Stegostoma tigrinum: one gene and its partner. The protein of the gene in region 1 interacts with the protein of each later gene in a pairwise test. Links are inferred from orthologs where the notes say so. Each region holds a gene or a part of one and is shown on either strand. Other genes may lie near its edges.

Evidence for each region.
Region 2: the proteins of alpha-1,6-mannosylglycoprotein 6-beta-N-acetylglucosaminyltransferase B (region 1) and dmrt3a interact in a two-hybrid assay, tested with the Homo sapiens proteins (2 studies listed by BioGRID). The two-hybrid records come from large-scale screens. The link is inferred for Stegostoma tigrinum from reciprocal best matches to the Homo sapiens genes MGAT5B and DMRT3.

What each region holds. Positions count from the first base shown.
Region 1 is NC_081375.1:32,599,328-32,607,348, reverse strand, and holds the start of alpha-1,6-mannosylglycoprotein 6-beta-N-acetylglucosaminyltransferase B, read left to right. Parts: upstream 1-4,929; 5' UTR 4,930-5,536; coding exon 5,537-5,619; intron 5,620-7,455; coding exon 7,456-7,583; intron 7,584-8,021. UniProt on the Homo sapiens protein: Glycosyltransferase that acts on alpha-linked mannose of N-glycans and O-mannosyl glycans.
Region 2 is NC_081361.1:42,214,347-42,222,444, forward strand, and holds the start of dmrt3a (doublesex- and mab-3-related transcription factor 3a), read right to left. Parts: upstream 3,050-8,098; 5' UTR 2,817-3,049; coding exon 2,426-2,816; intron 1-2,425. UniProt on the Homo sapiens protein: Probable transcription factor that plays a role in configuring the spinal circuits controlling stride in vertebrates.

The DNA.
Region 1 (8,021 bases):
GGATAAGAGTGACAGTGATCTGTTGTGACTCACTTGTTTTTCATTCTTCCTTACGACAAACCATTCAGTCTATGCCTTCTGCCTTCCTTTGCCAGTCAAGATGTTGGCTTTTTTATGCAATTTGAGACAATCTGTGGAATTGGACTGTGAGATGTTTTGTGACAAAGCTTTTGTCTGCTACACAGCTTTGCATTTAATAAGTTCAACTATGCAACTGTGAACTGAAAGTCTCAATAATTATAGATTAATGACAAATCTTGGGGTCCAGAAAACATATTTAAATGCAGAGTAGTCCTTGATAAGACATGCATACATTGTAGGATATCAGTTTTTAAGAGCAATAGATTTCCATACAAGGCACTGAACTTTGTGCATCAATGTCTGTGACTCAATAACTCATCCTTATAAGATGCATGGCATTAGGAGGCTTATACTTGAATATACATAGACCTACAGCTCCAATGTAGAAAGTTGTTTACATTACAAGAGTTCAGAGCAAATCTACTTCTTTAGTTGCCATCAAATTCAGGTGCTCTATTATTGAAACACTTGTACATGCTTTTGTGATCCAGAAACCTGACTATTCTAACAGTCTTCTTGCCAAACTCCCACATTATATTCACTAAGTTCATCCTCCCATATGAAGTTCTCTTACTCTCTGCACAGCTGCTTGCTGATTGATCTTAATCTGCTAATGTCTCAAATTTAAAATCCCATTTCCAGTATTTTGGAGACTCAGCCCTCCATATCTCTAAACATTCCACATCAAGCTCTCTGAACTCCTCTAATTGTAGACCATTCTGCAATCCAAATTTTCTTTGCTCCATCATTTTTGGGGCATATCTTCAGTGTTCCCCTTCTAAACCTAGTGTCTCACTACATTCTTCCCTTTTAGGTTGCTCCCTAATACTTTATTAATGACAAATTTTTTTGATTACCTACCCTAGTATCTGTTTGTGACAGTGTCAAATTATGTTTAATCATGCTCACATGCAGTGAGTTCAAATGTTAATATTTCATTAAAGGTGCTTTGCAAAGGTAACATAATAATTTACTCTGTGTTTTGCTGAAAAACTTTTTTAAATAAGAAAACTACTCCAATTGCATGTTTCTCAGCTTTCCTTAGTATCCTGAAAACAGCATCTTTTATAGATAAAAACTATTTAACATCTTGATAGTAAGTGGGAAAACATAATCTTTGAGGCCTTGTTTAACTGCATACCTAGAAGCAATGATAAAAAACGTTTATTGTCAGAAACTTGATACTGGAGGAGTCCTGTGGGTGGAATTTTTCCTTATGCATAATGGAGGAAGAAAACATTTCAATTGCAAATTGATCATACTTTAGAATTTCAAAACATTTAACTTTTAAATTAAAAAGTACAATAGTACCACTGCAGCATTTTACTGCAAATGCTACAGTTGGTTCAAATAGGTTAATACGCCATGAATTTCATTGTAAACCATAGGGCCAAACTTTCCTTCTGTCAAACGATGTGGACATTGACAAGTCAGTTGGGAAAATATGACAAATTAGAAAATAAGTATTAAAAAGTCAAGAAAAAGAAATTTCTGTCCAGAACTGGAGATCAGAATTACATGTTGTGCTCTCCAGTGTATCCAGTCATGGTCATTGAAGCTCATGGAATGGTTTTTCCATGTCAGACGTCCTTGCAAGTCATGCCTGTGGCGTTGGCACCTTACCATCCAGATTGCAGATACTACTTGAACCAGAATCTCTGCTTTGGATAACTGGAGGGTGTACTGTGGCTATAGGATGGACAATGGGGATCTACGAAAGCTGAGGCATTGCGCCGAGTGAGAACATGAGGATGTTCCTTAGATGGAACCGTGCCTGCAGTATCATACAGCACAGAAGCATTGACCAAATCAATGTAGGCAGGACATTGTTTGTGAATACCATTCAATGAAATTGAGCTGTGCAAAGTCATCTTTCACTGACTGCAAATGATTTATGCTGCTGAGGCCAATATCCCACGTATAATCATGACTGTAAGCGCAGCTTAAAGTTTTGATCCTTCGATGTGACTCATGCTATTTAATAGATGTTAAGGTTACAAATGAATGGAAGCCTTCGCAACATCCAATGCTCCCTCACTGAATTGTGGTAGCTATGGAAAGGACAGCTATCTTTTAAGGATAGCTTGAACATCTTGTGGTGCTAAGGATGGCTAGTTTCTCTGCCTTCATTCTTACAGTCGCTGCTAAAACTCAATTGACTCACCCTGCTGATAATGAAAGGTAATCAACACTTTAAAGGCATCTGGATGGGTACATGAATAGGAAGGGTTTAAGGGGATATAGGTCAAATGCTGGCAAATGGGATTAGGTCAGATTGGGATGTCTGATCGGCGCAGATGACTGAAAGGTCTGTCTCCATTCTATCTGCCTCTATTTACAAATATGATAATGCATTTATAATAAATATCATGTACGCTATTAATATGCCCTTGTAAGGTCTTGTGCCTTTCACTCCTCTACATCTAGATGCAGGCATGGTGTCTGCAGCTGCAGTGAAGTGACAACCCCTTCTTCCACAGTAACTCATATTCTCAAATGCACTATCGTCTGCACTTCTTATATATTGAGATTCTCCCCCATCACAATAATTGTCCTCTTTGCATCCCAGCCAGCAGCATCCAACCTCCACAATTGACAGCCCAACTTTCGTTGACTTGCAATATTGGTAACCTCCAACTACTGTTGTCGCCCTTTAATGAACTGAGGTCTACACTTGTTAGACTTTCAGATATGGTGATTTGGCTGAAGCACATGCAGTGTGTTTGCCTAGTGAGCTGCTGTATCATATTATGGGTGTGACATTGAAATAACACGGTGCTGTACAGGATCATGTCTATCTTTTTGACTCATCACTTCTTACAACTAGGACAAGCTACCTGGTGTTGTGCCTGCACTAAATGGCAAGGCAAGGCAGAAAAACCATCAGCCTTTAAGTTCAGAATGAGTGGGCAATGTGAAAAGAAAACAAGGCAAGCAATGATGCTGTGAGCTTTTAAGTAGATGCAGAGTGAATGGGGTTTAAGAAAGCAAGCAAGGAACCCAGAGATGTTCCCTGGTTTAATTCATGAGATGGGTGCCTGACTCTGCGCTTTTCAAGCAGCGTTACAGTAAAAATTTGGAGTGCAGAACCATATTGCAAGTTAGTTGGATATGTGCCATGCGGATGCAAAGAGATTGGCATGTGACTGATGCCAACCTCTTTGAATTGGCTACGTGGTGTCGATGCCCGTGGAACACGCCCGGAGATGCAGATGACTGATTCCAAGATGGTGGCCTGGAGGAGCATGCAGGTGATTGAGGTTGCCAGATATCTGTTTCAAAGTTCATGTCAGGAATTGTCGCTGTCTAATTTATTTTCGGCATTTAGGAGAACAGGAAATTGCATTTCAATGAGGTAAGATTAGGTGTGATAGCATATTATCGTTATACAAGGTGACCTGTTGCTGCTCACTAGTATGCTTCTTATGTTGTTCAAAACCTGATTGCAGAATCTGATTCCTTTTTCTTGACGTTGAGGATTTAATTTTTGCTGATCTTGCCATATTTTCCCAACTGTCTTGCCAGTGTTCACATCGTGGGGGAGTTGGGGACTTACCACCTAAATTATTATATTATGAAATAGCAACCAAACTGATTTAATTGGTTTAAAAAAATTCTTAGCATCTAAGTTTGAAATGCTTCTCAGCAAACAATGAAGGGTGGCATGGTGGCTCACACTGCCAGGGATGTGGCTAAAATTCCAGCCTTGGGCAACTATCTGTGTGGAGTTGGCACATTCTCCTCGTGTCTGCGTAGGTTTCCTTCAGTTGCTCTGGTTTCCTCCCACAGTCTATAGGTGTGTACGGTGGGTGGATTGGCCATGCTAAATTGCCCATAGTGTTCAGGAACGTGTAGGTTAGATGGAATAGTCATGGGACATGAAGGTATACAGGGACAGTTTAAGTGGATACGTCTGGATGGGATGCTCTTTGGACAGCCAGTGTAGACTAGTTGGGCCGAATAGCCTGCTTCCACCCTGTAGGGATTCTATGAAGTTTCACTCACTGGCATCCTTTTAATGAGTCCTGATGTGAGATTCACATAAATGAGAATTAAAATTGAAACTTTGCCACCAATAAAATGCAAAATCACATTGGTCAATAATTTCACCAAAAAGCATGCCTTTAAAATTGGACCAACGATAAAAAGGTTTGTTTCTGCTTCTTCATTCAGCCTATATAAGACAAAATTTACACAAGCACAGAAATTCAACGGCTGAACATTACTGCCACCTGCAGTTTTCTCAGAATCATTGACAATTGACAACATAATTCTAAATACAATAGGCTAGCTACCGAGTCTACCATACCAGTAGACCCATGATTATGCTATTGTGGAGTGTGAACAAATATCTGAAGGATCATTTGCTCTTTCCTAACTTCAAGCCAGATCACCATTGAGACAGCATGAGGGTGAGTAAGATACATGATTCCAAATAAGATGAAATTCATGTATGGTGGATTATTCCTTAAAAATTTCAAAAATTTGCTTTGTTTTCTATTATGAGAAGATATTTATGACTGAATCATTACTATATTTGAGATTATGAATATATAAAAGATAATATTAATGGCAATTTCAGATTTTTTCTTGTCTTAAAATTGCTGCCGTGAACATTTATGGCTTCCTGTTTTCTTGTCTTTTACAGAATCTTAGCACTACTCGTAATGTAGAAAACACACAGCACCTGTTTAGGTAAGAATCTATTCAGCTAAAATACAAAGTAATTAATGTAGGAACAAACTATCCCCAGAACACTAGGTGATGCTCTAGCACTGTTGTTGCATCAGGATAATGTAACATCTCATGCTTTGTAAAGGAAATAAAGCAGCTATGATAGAGAGGCTGATGTATTCCAGCTATCCTGGTTGGATTGTGATCTGTCAGTCAGCCTTTTATCCCCAACCCTATTCACTTGTCCAAGGGGTTGAATGCCGAGGTTGTTGGTGGCTGCTTGTACTAGATCTGGCGGTTGAGCAAAAATCAGTATGAATCTCACCCGAGGGACTATGAGGATGCCCTGCCTAAGTGTGTCAATGCAATAGTCATGTGGCTGTGAATAACAGCAAGCTCTGATCATGAGAGGAGGAAATCTTCAAGCAACTAATGTGCTTTTTTTCACCTGCAGTCTCCTTGATTCTTGTTTAACTGTTAATTTTGGATTATCTTCGGCATCTTGTATTCATCACTACTTCCTGAAAAAGTCAACATAGAGCTAGGAGCAGCATCACTTCAGCTTGAATAAGGACTCACTCTGGAGATAGGAAACCTGGCAGATTTGTTTTAAATCAGCAAATCAAAAGTTGTGAATGGATTTTATTTGGTCTGACCTGAAAAAAAATCACCTGATGCCTATTAATTCGGTTCTAAGGACAATATTAAATATTGATTAATTAAATATCTTCAAATTAATCAAGTTTATATTAGATAATATTTATGTTTCACTGACAGAAAGATGTTTTTGCTTTCAAAAAATTCTACAAATTCAGATGGTAAAATAATGGTGAGAAGGTTTCTTGTAACCTTAAGGCCTTTCAGGTAAGTTTACCTTCAAGTTTTGTTTTCAATTACACATATAAAATAATTTAGTATTGATGATTGATATGACTTGTGTGGAACACTTGTGATCAATGCTTGTGTCAAGCAAAACTTACACTTTAATCTCATTGTAACTGCTGCTGGTCTAGATTATATGGTTATGAATCTCAGTTAATGTTTGTCATTTCAGTATAAAGACAGCTTTCCATGCTGGCAACACTTACAGTATTTACGTTTGCAATGCTCTGGGACCACCCTAATTCAAATGATGCTTTCTATTCAATGTAGCAATTGAGTTTGAGATGAATCTATGAGAGGCAGACAATACCATATTCTCTGTTTTTCATTCGTGGAAAGTTACATTTAAAACATAGAGGGTAAGGTGTGGAGTTGTGGCTGATGGGTGCGGGCACCAGGAGACGGCTAGTCACATTGAAATCACTCACCTTCCCACTATGAGATGCCACATGTGTTTCAGAATACATCCTGGTGTGATTGATCTTGTTTCTCCATGCTATTTCCATGGGGTCATGGTGTTAAGTACATGTTCAAGGATATAGCTAGGGCCGGGGGAGGGGATGGAGCTTGACGTTTGTTCAGTAACAGTTAAAAATACAAATCTATAAAATATCAGTGTATGAAATGTTACGTAAATATGTAAACTGATAATCTTGCAAAATCATTAAAACTGAATTTCAGAAAGGGTACATTTTAAAATATTGGTCGTAATTACATTGATATTAATTACAGTAATTTGCATGGCAAAACAAGAATGCTTTCTTCAATTGATGAACTTTGTGAAGCAATTGATTAATCTTGTGTTGCAAATTCACCGCATACAGCTAGGAACATATTCAAAAAGGATGCTCTAGAGTGTTATTGTTATTGTTGAACAGACATTTCTGTTTCTGTGTGTTGATCTGAAATTTAAGAGGACCTGTTTAACAATATCCAAATGATAGAGAAAAAGATGTGTATTTCATATTTAAAAGAAAATGCAGAAGTTGACCTAATTATTATTGCCAGAAATTTAAAATTGTAGAGGCAGGAATTCACTGCTTTTAGGGAAAGTACTTCTGGGAAACAAAATACATAAATAAGAGAATGTTCCTGTACCTTTTGATGACTTTCAGCCTCACGTACTTAATACCTACATATTCTTCAGGAGCTGGACTTGATCTAATTTCATTGTCAACATGTGGTACAGTGACAAAAGTAATAGGATCACCGTTATACCAGAGTCCTTCTAGGGTAGGCATAGAAGCAGACATATGTCAGAATAAATAATTTGGGGATGTGCTGCTACACAATCCCTCTCATTTTTTAAATTGCTCACCTACTTCATCTCCTGCCTGAAAGCCAACAATTAAATGTAGGGCTAGCCTAGAATGAATCTAAGCCTAAACATTGATTAAATAAATGGTACTGTTCATTTATTGCTTAGTATCAAACATAAAATGTGTTTTCTTAAAATATGTTAGAAATAAGTTGCCACCTCAGAAGCATTATGCCAATTTTTAAGATTTAGTATATGTGCATGGACAGCAGAAGTACATCTATTGTTCTTACTACATTATGCCGTTCAGCAGGTCACATAGTACCACCATGCTGTTGAATCCAATTATGAGTTACTAAGTTAGAATGAAGTATGGTCATACTTTTAAGCAAACAGTCAAAGTGTACAAGTGAATAAAGTAAAATTGTAAATTGACAACAGTATACGTGTAATCAAGTATACAATATAGAACACATTATATTTCTAGTATTCTCATATACTAGCTAACTATAAAGCAAAAACTTGTACGTTAGTCTGATATGCTCTCTGCTTGATTCTAGGTTATTTGTGGCTGGAATTGGATTCTTCACCCTCTGTTTTATAATGACCTCCTTTGGCGGACAGCTTACAGGCAAGAGAGTGGGAGACTCACCTTTTGGCATTAGACAATTAGGTAGCAAATCTGAAGGTAAATGTAGCTTTATGTCAAGTGCCATTACATTAACCTATTTACTGCTATCCATCTCTGAAAAAATTAAAAGAACCTGGACATACTCCAGCAAATTTGTCAAACGTGATTTCCCTGTAACAAAATCTTGTTGATTATGTTTTATTGCATTAAGCTTTCGTCAATGCCCTGCCATTTCTTCCTTAATAATGCGCTCCAGCATTTTCACAATGACAGCCATTAGGCTAACTTGACTGTAGTTTGCTAGTTTCTTTTTGGGATTTGGGGAACAAATTCCAGCCCAGAGCCACTGATACTTTTGCCATTGACCATAGGTGTGAACAATCTGAATCTCTTCCCAGTAAAACAACAGTGATCCCTTTGAAAAGGGTGAGTGATCACCCAATACCAAGTAATGCCTTAGGAGTAAGTTGTCTTGATCAAAATGAACAATTTTTA
Region 2 (8,098 bases), on another chromosome or scaffold:
AATACAACTGATGTCCTTTCCGCCAATCTACCAAAAAAAATTATTTTCTTGACTGAAGAACATCATCTAGAGATGTTTACCAATACACTTAATGTTCATACAAGAAAACAGAATATCTAGACTGGGACAGTTTCCAACGTACAGCCGTAAAGGCAGGCTGACCGGCAGCTTTTGAAGTTGGAATGTAAGATTACATTTACGACATAGATAAAAGTTGATAAGTGAAAAATGCATGATGGTGTTTAGTTAAGGAAAAATGACGCTGCTAACAAGTGTTTTAACCAAAAACAAGGTTTTTCTGCCGGTCTAAGGACGCTAAAACATATTTACTTTGCGTTTTCCATAAGACATTGCCTAACTGCAAATCCTGGCGAAAGACCTGCCCAGGAAGCTGGGAAGCTATCAGAGATTATCCGGCTATTTGTTTGAAATTTTGGAATGAAACAACTCTGTGTTTGCCCGAATTAGTCTCGTCAGTTATTTTTCCATTGTTAACCAGAGATGCTGGTTAGGATTTACTTTTCATTTGTTTCAAAGTTTAATATTGTGAATTATGAAATATCGGACATTTAAATATACAATAGAATGGACCGGAACATTGAGTGAAAATATAAATAAATCGCTAGCGCACGCTAAAACAGGTTACCTGTTTTATCTTCCTTTATCCTCTTAAGGACTTCACACGTCAACCTTTGAGAACTACAGTAAAATGATCCCTAATTAAAACTTCAACTACTAAATCAAAATACAAAAACTCCAACAACTCCGAAACGTAACACATTCATTTTCTGAGTGTGGTGTTAAAAATGGTAAATACAGAAATGTTAGGCTGTCGTAGGAACTAATAGTAAAATGTCAATCGGGATCAATTTCTTATATTTTTTTCAGATATGTAAATGTCACGTTAAACACAAATGTTCCTGAAGTAGTCACGAATGACTTAATTGGAATAATACGGGCCTATAAATGTGCCGGTTATTTTTATATTTCTTTTTGAAATAGGTCGAAATTATCCCAGCAGCAGGTCTCTCTGTTTCACTTGTTACCAGGCAATTTGATCCCTTAATCCCTGTGCTCTGTAGTGATTAATCACGTCCCTGGGGCTGAAACGGTAAACGCGGGGGCATCCAAACAAATCAATCCCCCTTTTCACCCCGTGCGCAATTATCATAACGAGGGTGTTATAGCTTTGAACTAGCCGGCTCTTTGATTTGTTGAACGTGGAAAAACAAGCAGGAAGCCAATTTGTAGTAAGAATAATCAGTGTTCAGAGAAAAGGGGACAACAAGAATGGCTTGCTTTAACAATGATTGTTCAGTTAAAATAGCATCCAGATTGTTGCAGTCACTGCATATTGTGCTGCTCTTTCTCCTTGTTCCCTAAACCAAAGTCTGTTCCTGCCGCTTATTGGGCATTGGTTATTCATGCTCGCGGCGTCAAGAAATCCTTTTCAACTATTTTGTGACAACTAACGTTCATTGATTGAACACCGTTATTCTCATCGTCATATGGGACATGAAGGTGAAGAGGCATAACGGGATGCTATTAAATTCTAAATATAATTGGTCACTTTTTTTAAAAATGACGTATTTGGCAGCAAGCAAATATTTAGAAAGCGTTTGTTAAACACGCCAGCATTTCGGTATGCGCCGTTCCCGCGGTTTGGTTTAAATTCTCAATAGCTAAATAGCCATTTTCCGACATTCGCGCTCTTAAAGAGGAGCCGGGCACTGTGTGGTATGGAAACATCTGTTTGATGTTTGGTGTAAATGTAGCCCACCCGATGTTCCTATCGAATGGGTCGGCTGTAGATTTTGCGAAATCCTTATCCCTACCGGGAAGCAAAGTCATTCCCATTTCACAGTCTCCCACCATTCCTGGAATAGTTCCACAGAAAGCAGTAACCTGCCGACCGCTGAAATAGCTGCAGCAAACTGGGAACATCGAGAATAGTTCACGTCCCGTTTTTGGAATAGATACAACAAACTAGAGGCATGAATGTCAATTATGTGAAGTCCTGCCTTTTGTAAACCACCTTGTCCACTCTGCGTTTCACAGTATCTTTCCTTGAGTGTAAGATCTCTGTGGCCCGATAATGTCCCCATCAATGCTTGGCTGTGTTTGAAAAAATACTTAAATGAGACAACGGTTCAGCTATTTTGCCAAGAAATGCAACAAGACAATACCTGTTTAAATTCAGAGGACTACAAATGTCGTGAAGCGACGCAGCATTTCACGTGAGGTGTTAAAGTTTAAAAAAAATAAACCTGACGCCTAATTTCGAGTGACTGCAACAATACAAGAATATTCCTGCACTGCCTTTATTACAGCCGAGGGGATACCTATGCGAAACAGTGTGTGCTATAATTTCACGCCGCTCATGTACACGGAGCGAAGAAAACCCTGGTCTGTGTGAATTTCCTACCCGGTCGCTGAGATAGCATGGAATCCGCAGGTGTCGTTTCGTCAGGTCTGCTTCTGCCGGCTGAGTACACGCTATCGGAAGGAGCCGAGCCCTCGAATCTCTCGGGGGCTGGATACATTGCTCTGTAATCCTCAGATAAAACCAGATTGCAAGGATTCTCGTTGCTTTGTTGCCTCCTGAGAGCCACCTGCGCGGCCATGACTCTCTGTCTTTCCAAGATGAGGATGCACTTGTCACATGTGCAGTCTTTGAAGCGGCAGTAGCGTTTGTGGCCCTTAAGCCAGGACAACACCCCGTGATTCCGGCACCGTGCGCACTTGGGAGTTCGCTGAGCTGGTGCTCGGGAAGACGCGGTGGGTACGTACAGATATGGAGCACCATAGCTATTCATGGTAATCACTCTAAAGTTGTGTTTTTAACAACGAGAGGTTCGATGCTCCCCTCAATTCCTTTCTCAAAGGTGAAAATCGCACGGGAGCAAACGCAAATCTGAGTTCAAGAGCGGGAGCGCGTATCCCAGCTGCAGCGCCTCGGTTTTATAAAGCAGTTATTTCAAGTCAATCAAGTGAAACGACTTGTGTGAAAGGATTGAAAATCATTTTTCCTCCGCAAACCTCTCCCCCTTCATTCTTTGAGAAGAGTTGAAAGCAACTCCACAATCAAACAATTCTAAAAGATTTCAAGTGTTTGGAGGAGGTGACATAGGTGCCGAGATAGGGCGGGGCGCACTCCATTCAAAAGGGATTAAAAATAAACGAGGGAGCTGGAAGCGAGGTAATAGAGCTAATGGATCACTTCATAGAGATCCCCTTTCACAATTAGACTTCCCAATTCTTATAAAATGGATGTACCCCACTTCCAAAATATATATTATGAATTGTCAATTTTCACTTCATTTTTAACTAAACTAAGAATGGTATGGGATATCGATTTCCATTTGGCCCTAAAGTAAATCAGTTTTGCGCAACGTTTTTGTATATCTGGACTTTGTCTTTAAAATGTGGAAGGGAAGAAGGAGCTAGTTATCTCATTTTGAGATGGAACTGAGGGCTAATCAATGCATTGGTTAAACTTGGACACGTACGTGTTCTTCGGGTTATCTGCCACGATACTTCACCTTATATCCATATTCTCTGGACAATCCCTGCACTGGACACTGCATGCAGTCACTTCCTTCTGCAACATTTAATTCATACATAAGAAACAACGCTGATTCGAAGTGGCAGAATTTATGCCGCATGATTTCACATACATGGAAACAACACACCTGAAACCCGTGAGAAAGTGCTCCTCTGGGAACTAAGCCATCGTCTGATTGAAGTCAAACAAAATGAAACTTTATTCGAGGGCATATGAAAGAGGCTTGAAAGCATTATTGATAAAGTGCGTTAAGCACTTGTACGTTGGAAACAAGGTGTTGGTGGTTTTAGGGGAGGGAGGGCTGCCAGTGGCCGGGGGTGGTGGGGATAGCATGTCTGACGCACAATTCCCTATCTGCCTCAACCCTCTCTGCTTAGCAGCTTGTCTTTTTTCTGTTACTTCAGTCTTTGCTCCTTGGTTGCTACTGAGCAGCGACATTGTCCTCCTGCGCCTCTCACCCCCTCCCTTCATCCTCACTGCTGAAATCAAGGTTCGTTCATTGCTTACTGCAACTCATTCTGCCCCGAAATGACTAAACTGGCGAACTCCACGTTCCATTCCTCCTGCATTCTTCAGGTTTTTTAAAAAGCTCAATTTAGTGTCACTCACTGTCACTTTTCAATTTTGGTTGTGCACAGAACTTGAGTCTTTTCACTTAGTTTCTTAATTTGAATAAACGCATTCGTTGTAATTATTTGAAGGTACATAAAGTTTACGTTCGGAATGTAACAGCTCCGTGGTGTTGGAATACAATCGTTGTTTTGTCACTTGGTTTCGTTTTAGCTCGTTAACCTTTGCTACTCTCCCTCACCACCTGCTACTTTTCAATATGATATTTTAAGTGGCCTTTCGCCGAGAGATCAACGATATCATTTACTTCAAAAATCACCATAATTCAATAGGTTTTATTTCTCTGTTCACCTGGAGATCATTGGTTAAGTCTCTCTGAAAAGGACTTACTTTTAATCCATCGGTTTTTTTTTAGTTGAAAACGCTGGGCTAACCCAGGATCTCCTTGAGGTTAAAGAGGTAGATAAAACTGGCCAGAATCAGAATTCAGATATTAAATGGTAAGTGGTCATTAGTAAAGGCGAATTTATTGGTCAGACTGTTTAATCCTTCATGTGGATCCAGATAATTTGACTTCAAATATAAAACCTGAAATGTGAGGCAGGTGATTCGATCGTAGTCTTGCCCGTAATGATAACCAGAATCACAGCGTATTTGGTCCAGGGAATATTGTATTTAACTAGGTATCCAGAACTTGCTCGGGTTAAACGATCCCACATCATTCGCACACTGTTAGAACAGTAAATAATATAAACATTCGTTACTTTACTCCCAATTGGATGCACAAACTACGCATGACTAAATGTAAGAAAAGGAAATGTTAGAAATACTTAGCAGATCAGACATCTGTGACGACAGAAAAAGCATTTTCTTAGAACTGAGAAATGTTTCGAGATGTGATTAAATGGCATCTACCTGAAACATCTGTGTATACGAATGCTGCCTGGCCTGTGGAGTATTTCAGACTTTTTCGTTATATCTGTGAATAATTGTTAAATTCCAACCGGTTAAGTTGCTCTGTTGGCATGTTAACGTGGAGTTTGCAAATAACGAATCTGGGCTTTGCCCTAATTTTCCCATGCTAACAGAGTTGCTACTTCCAGGGATGGTTGACTCCTAACTCATTCGCTTCATTATCTATTTGTGTTGAAAATGTTGGAAAAATCAGCAGATCTGGCAGCATCCGTGGAGGCACAAACAAAAGGAACGTTTCCAGTCTGATGTGAGGCTGAGAACTTCGTCCCTACTGTGGATTTTATAGCGAAGAATGCACCGGGGCGGCAGTTATTAAGGAAGTCAACTAAATTGATAAATTCACTCGATAGTAGAGCAGACGCACCCCTATAGTCTCGTTCAACATATACGGCCAACTAGCCGAGACAGCCAACTCTTTTTCCTTCAAGAACCCAAAGTCCTGCCCTCATTACTAAAGTGATTGAAGGGACGTAAATGTGAAAACGCTACCACATTTCTGCAGTTCTCCTTAAAGAGTTTGTAGTTTCACAACAGCCTTTTTTTATTGTAAGGTTTTACCGCTTTTTTCAATCACCTGAAAAAAATCCAGTTTGTAGTTTTGACTCTGCAGTAATTTAAGTTCCTTTCTTTACACAATACTGAGTATTATGAAAAAACGTTAAGAAACTAGCTTTAGAATCAGTTCCATAATTTAGCCTAACACTTCATTACTGCCGAACGCCACTCAGTCTGACACAGGTATTACTCAAGGTTAACATAAACTGAGTTAGATCGTGGAAATTTTGCACATGATATATGCCTTCGTCACATGCTTCCATCAGTCATTTCAATAATTCCACTTTTAAATCAAAAGTATTTGTTGTTATATCGATACAGAAATAAATATCTGATCAGGTGTTTTAATGTACCAAGCACAACAATGTTTGCGTTATATTTTTAGAATTTCGATTTACCAGGTACATGAGATAATTCAAAATTGTAGTCTTTATTTCAGCTTGGAAAAAATGCAATTCCAAAGTTTAAATTGATAGCTGTCTAAATTTGAAACCAGGGTAACTATTTGTACACATATTGGTATTTTAGTGCACAAACCTTACCTGTAGGAGACCTCTGTAGATTCTTTTAGTGAACATTTGTATTGATCAGAAGGTGAAGGGTAATAGAATAACCTTTCCCTCTTTGACTGACTGTTTTGTTTGGGCTGGCCAGTTGAAAAATAAATACATGATGCGTATTGCCACATCAGTATTTTGTTCTAGTAATAATGATCGTTTTAAGAATTCAAAATGAACAGTTAATAGCATTAATTCTTTCTCTTAAGAGTACAATTTTCAGCTCTTATAACATATTCTATCATCTTTTCCAGTTAATTTGCTACCCTTCAATTACAAAGAGAATGACATATGTTCAGGCAGTCTAGTGTCTTGGTGAACAATGTCTCTTTGATATCTACAAACCTGTGCAATGGCTTTTAACATTATGAGAGCATCATAAAAAAAAGTTAATGGCATGAAAGTATCTCAAGAGGGCTAGAATGTAAAGAGCTGGGAGTTCTGTGATGGTTGTGTGGGATTTTGGTTAGACCCTATTCACATTACTGCATTCTTTTCTGGCTTTTCAAGCTGTATTTATTGGGCTTAAAGCACGTACAGCACTGGTTTACCAGAATTATACCTGTGTAAATATGATTAAGTTATGAGGACTGACTGCGAAGTCCAGGCATTTAAGTGTAAAAAGTTATCTGATTCAAGTGTTTAAAGGATACGTTAAATACATAAACATTTTCCTCTAGTGGGAGAGTTTATAGCCAGGATATAACCTTAAAATTAGAGTGGCCATTGAGGAGTAACTTTAGAAAATACTTCTAAACACAATGTAGTGGAAATCTGGAAGGTTATCCCTCAAAGAGCTGTGAGATTGACAAGTGGCAGATGACATTAGTGGGACATAAGTATCGGGCCATGACCATCTCCAGCATCCCTGACTATAAATATCCTGGGGCTACTACTGGCCAGAAATTAACCGAACCAACCATATAAATACTTTGGCTACAAAGCCAGGTCAGAGACTGGGAATTCTAGGACAAATAGTTGACCTTCTGAATCCTGAAAACCTCTCCAACATCTACAAAACACAGTCAGTCATGCGTGGAATATTTACCATTTAACAAGTCAAGCACCATTGCAACAAAGCAGAAGCTGGTGGTGTAATGATCAGGAGGCTGTGGCATGATGGTAACATTTTTGGACATGTAATCCAGAAACCCAGACTAATGTTCTGGGTACCTGGATTCCAATTTGACTGTGGTAGGTGGTGAAATTTGAATTCAATAAAATCTGGAATTGGAAGCTAGCCAAATGGTGATCATTTAACTACTTAAAACCCATTTCAGTCATTCATTTTCTTCAGGGAGCAAACTTTGCCATTCTTACGTTGTCTGGCTTTCATGTGGCTCCAGATTCATAGCAATGACCCTTAACTGCCCACTAAGTATTTAGGGATGGACTGGCAAAAATACTGGCCAAGCCAGAGACACCCAGGTGTCATGTACAAGCTAACTAAATGCAGCCCACCTCATTGGCACCCCATCCACTAACTTTAATATTCACTTCCTCCATCACTGATATACAATGACCCAAATGTAAACTGTACTGCAGCAACTTACCTATTCTACTTCAACAGTATTTTCCAACCCATTACCTCTATCACATAGAAAGGTGCACTGTTAGTACTTTATTAGTACCGATGCAATTTCTAATGAGATACCATCGCTGTTGAGTGAGCCTTCCTGGAAAACGACAAAAATTGAACTGGATATGGAACATGTCAAACCAATTTTCTTTAGAAAATCAGTGAATTTGCAGGTTACCCAAATAGAGCATTGTTGCATACTCATAAAAAGGCACAGTATTTCTAGACAGAATGTTACAGAAACTTTAACGGTATCAGATTATATGACTTTGAGAGAGAAAGAGCAAATTGTCTTAA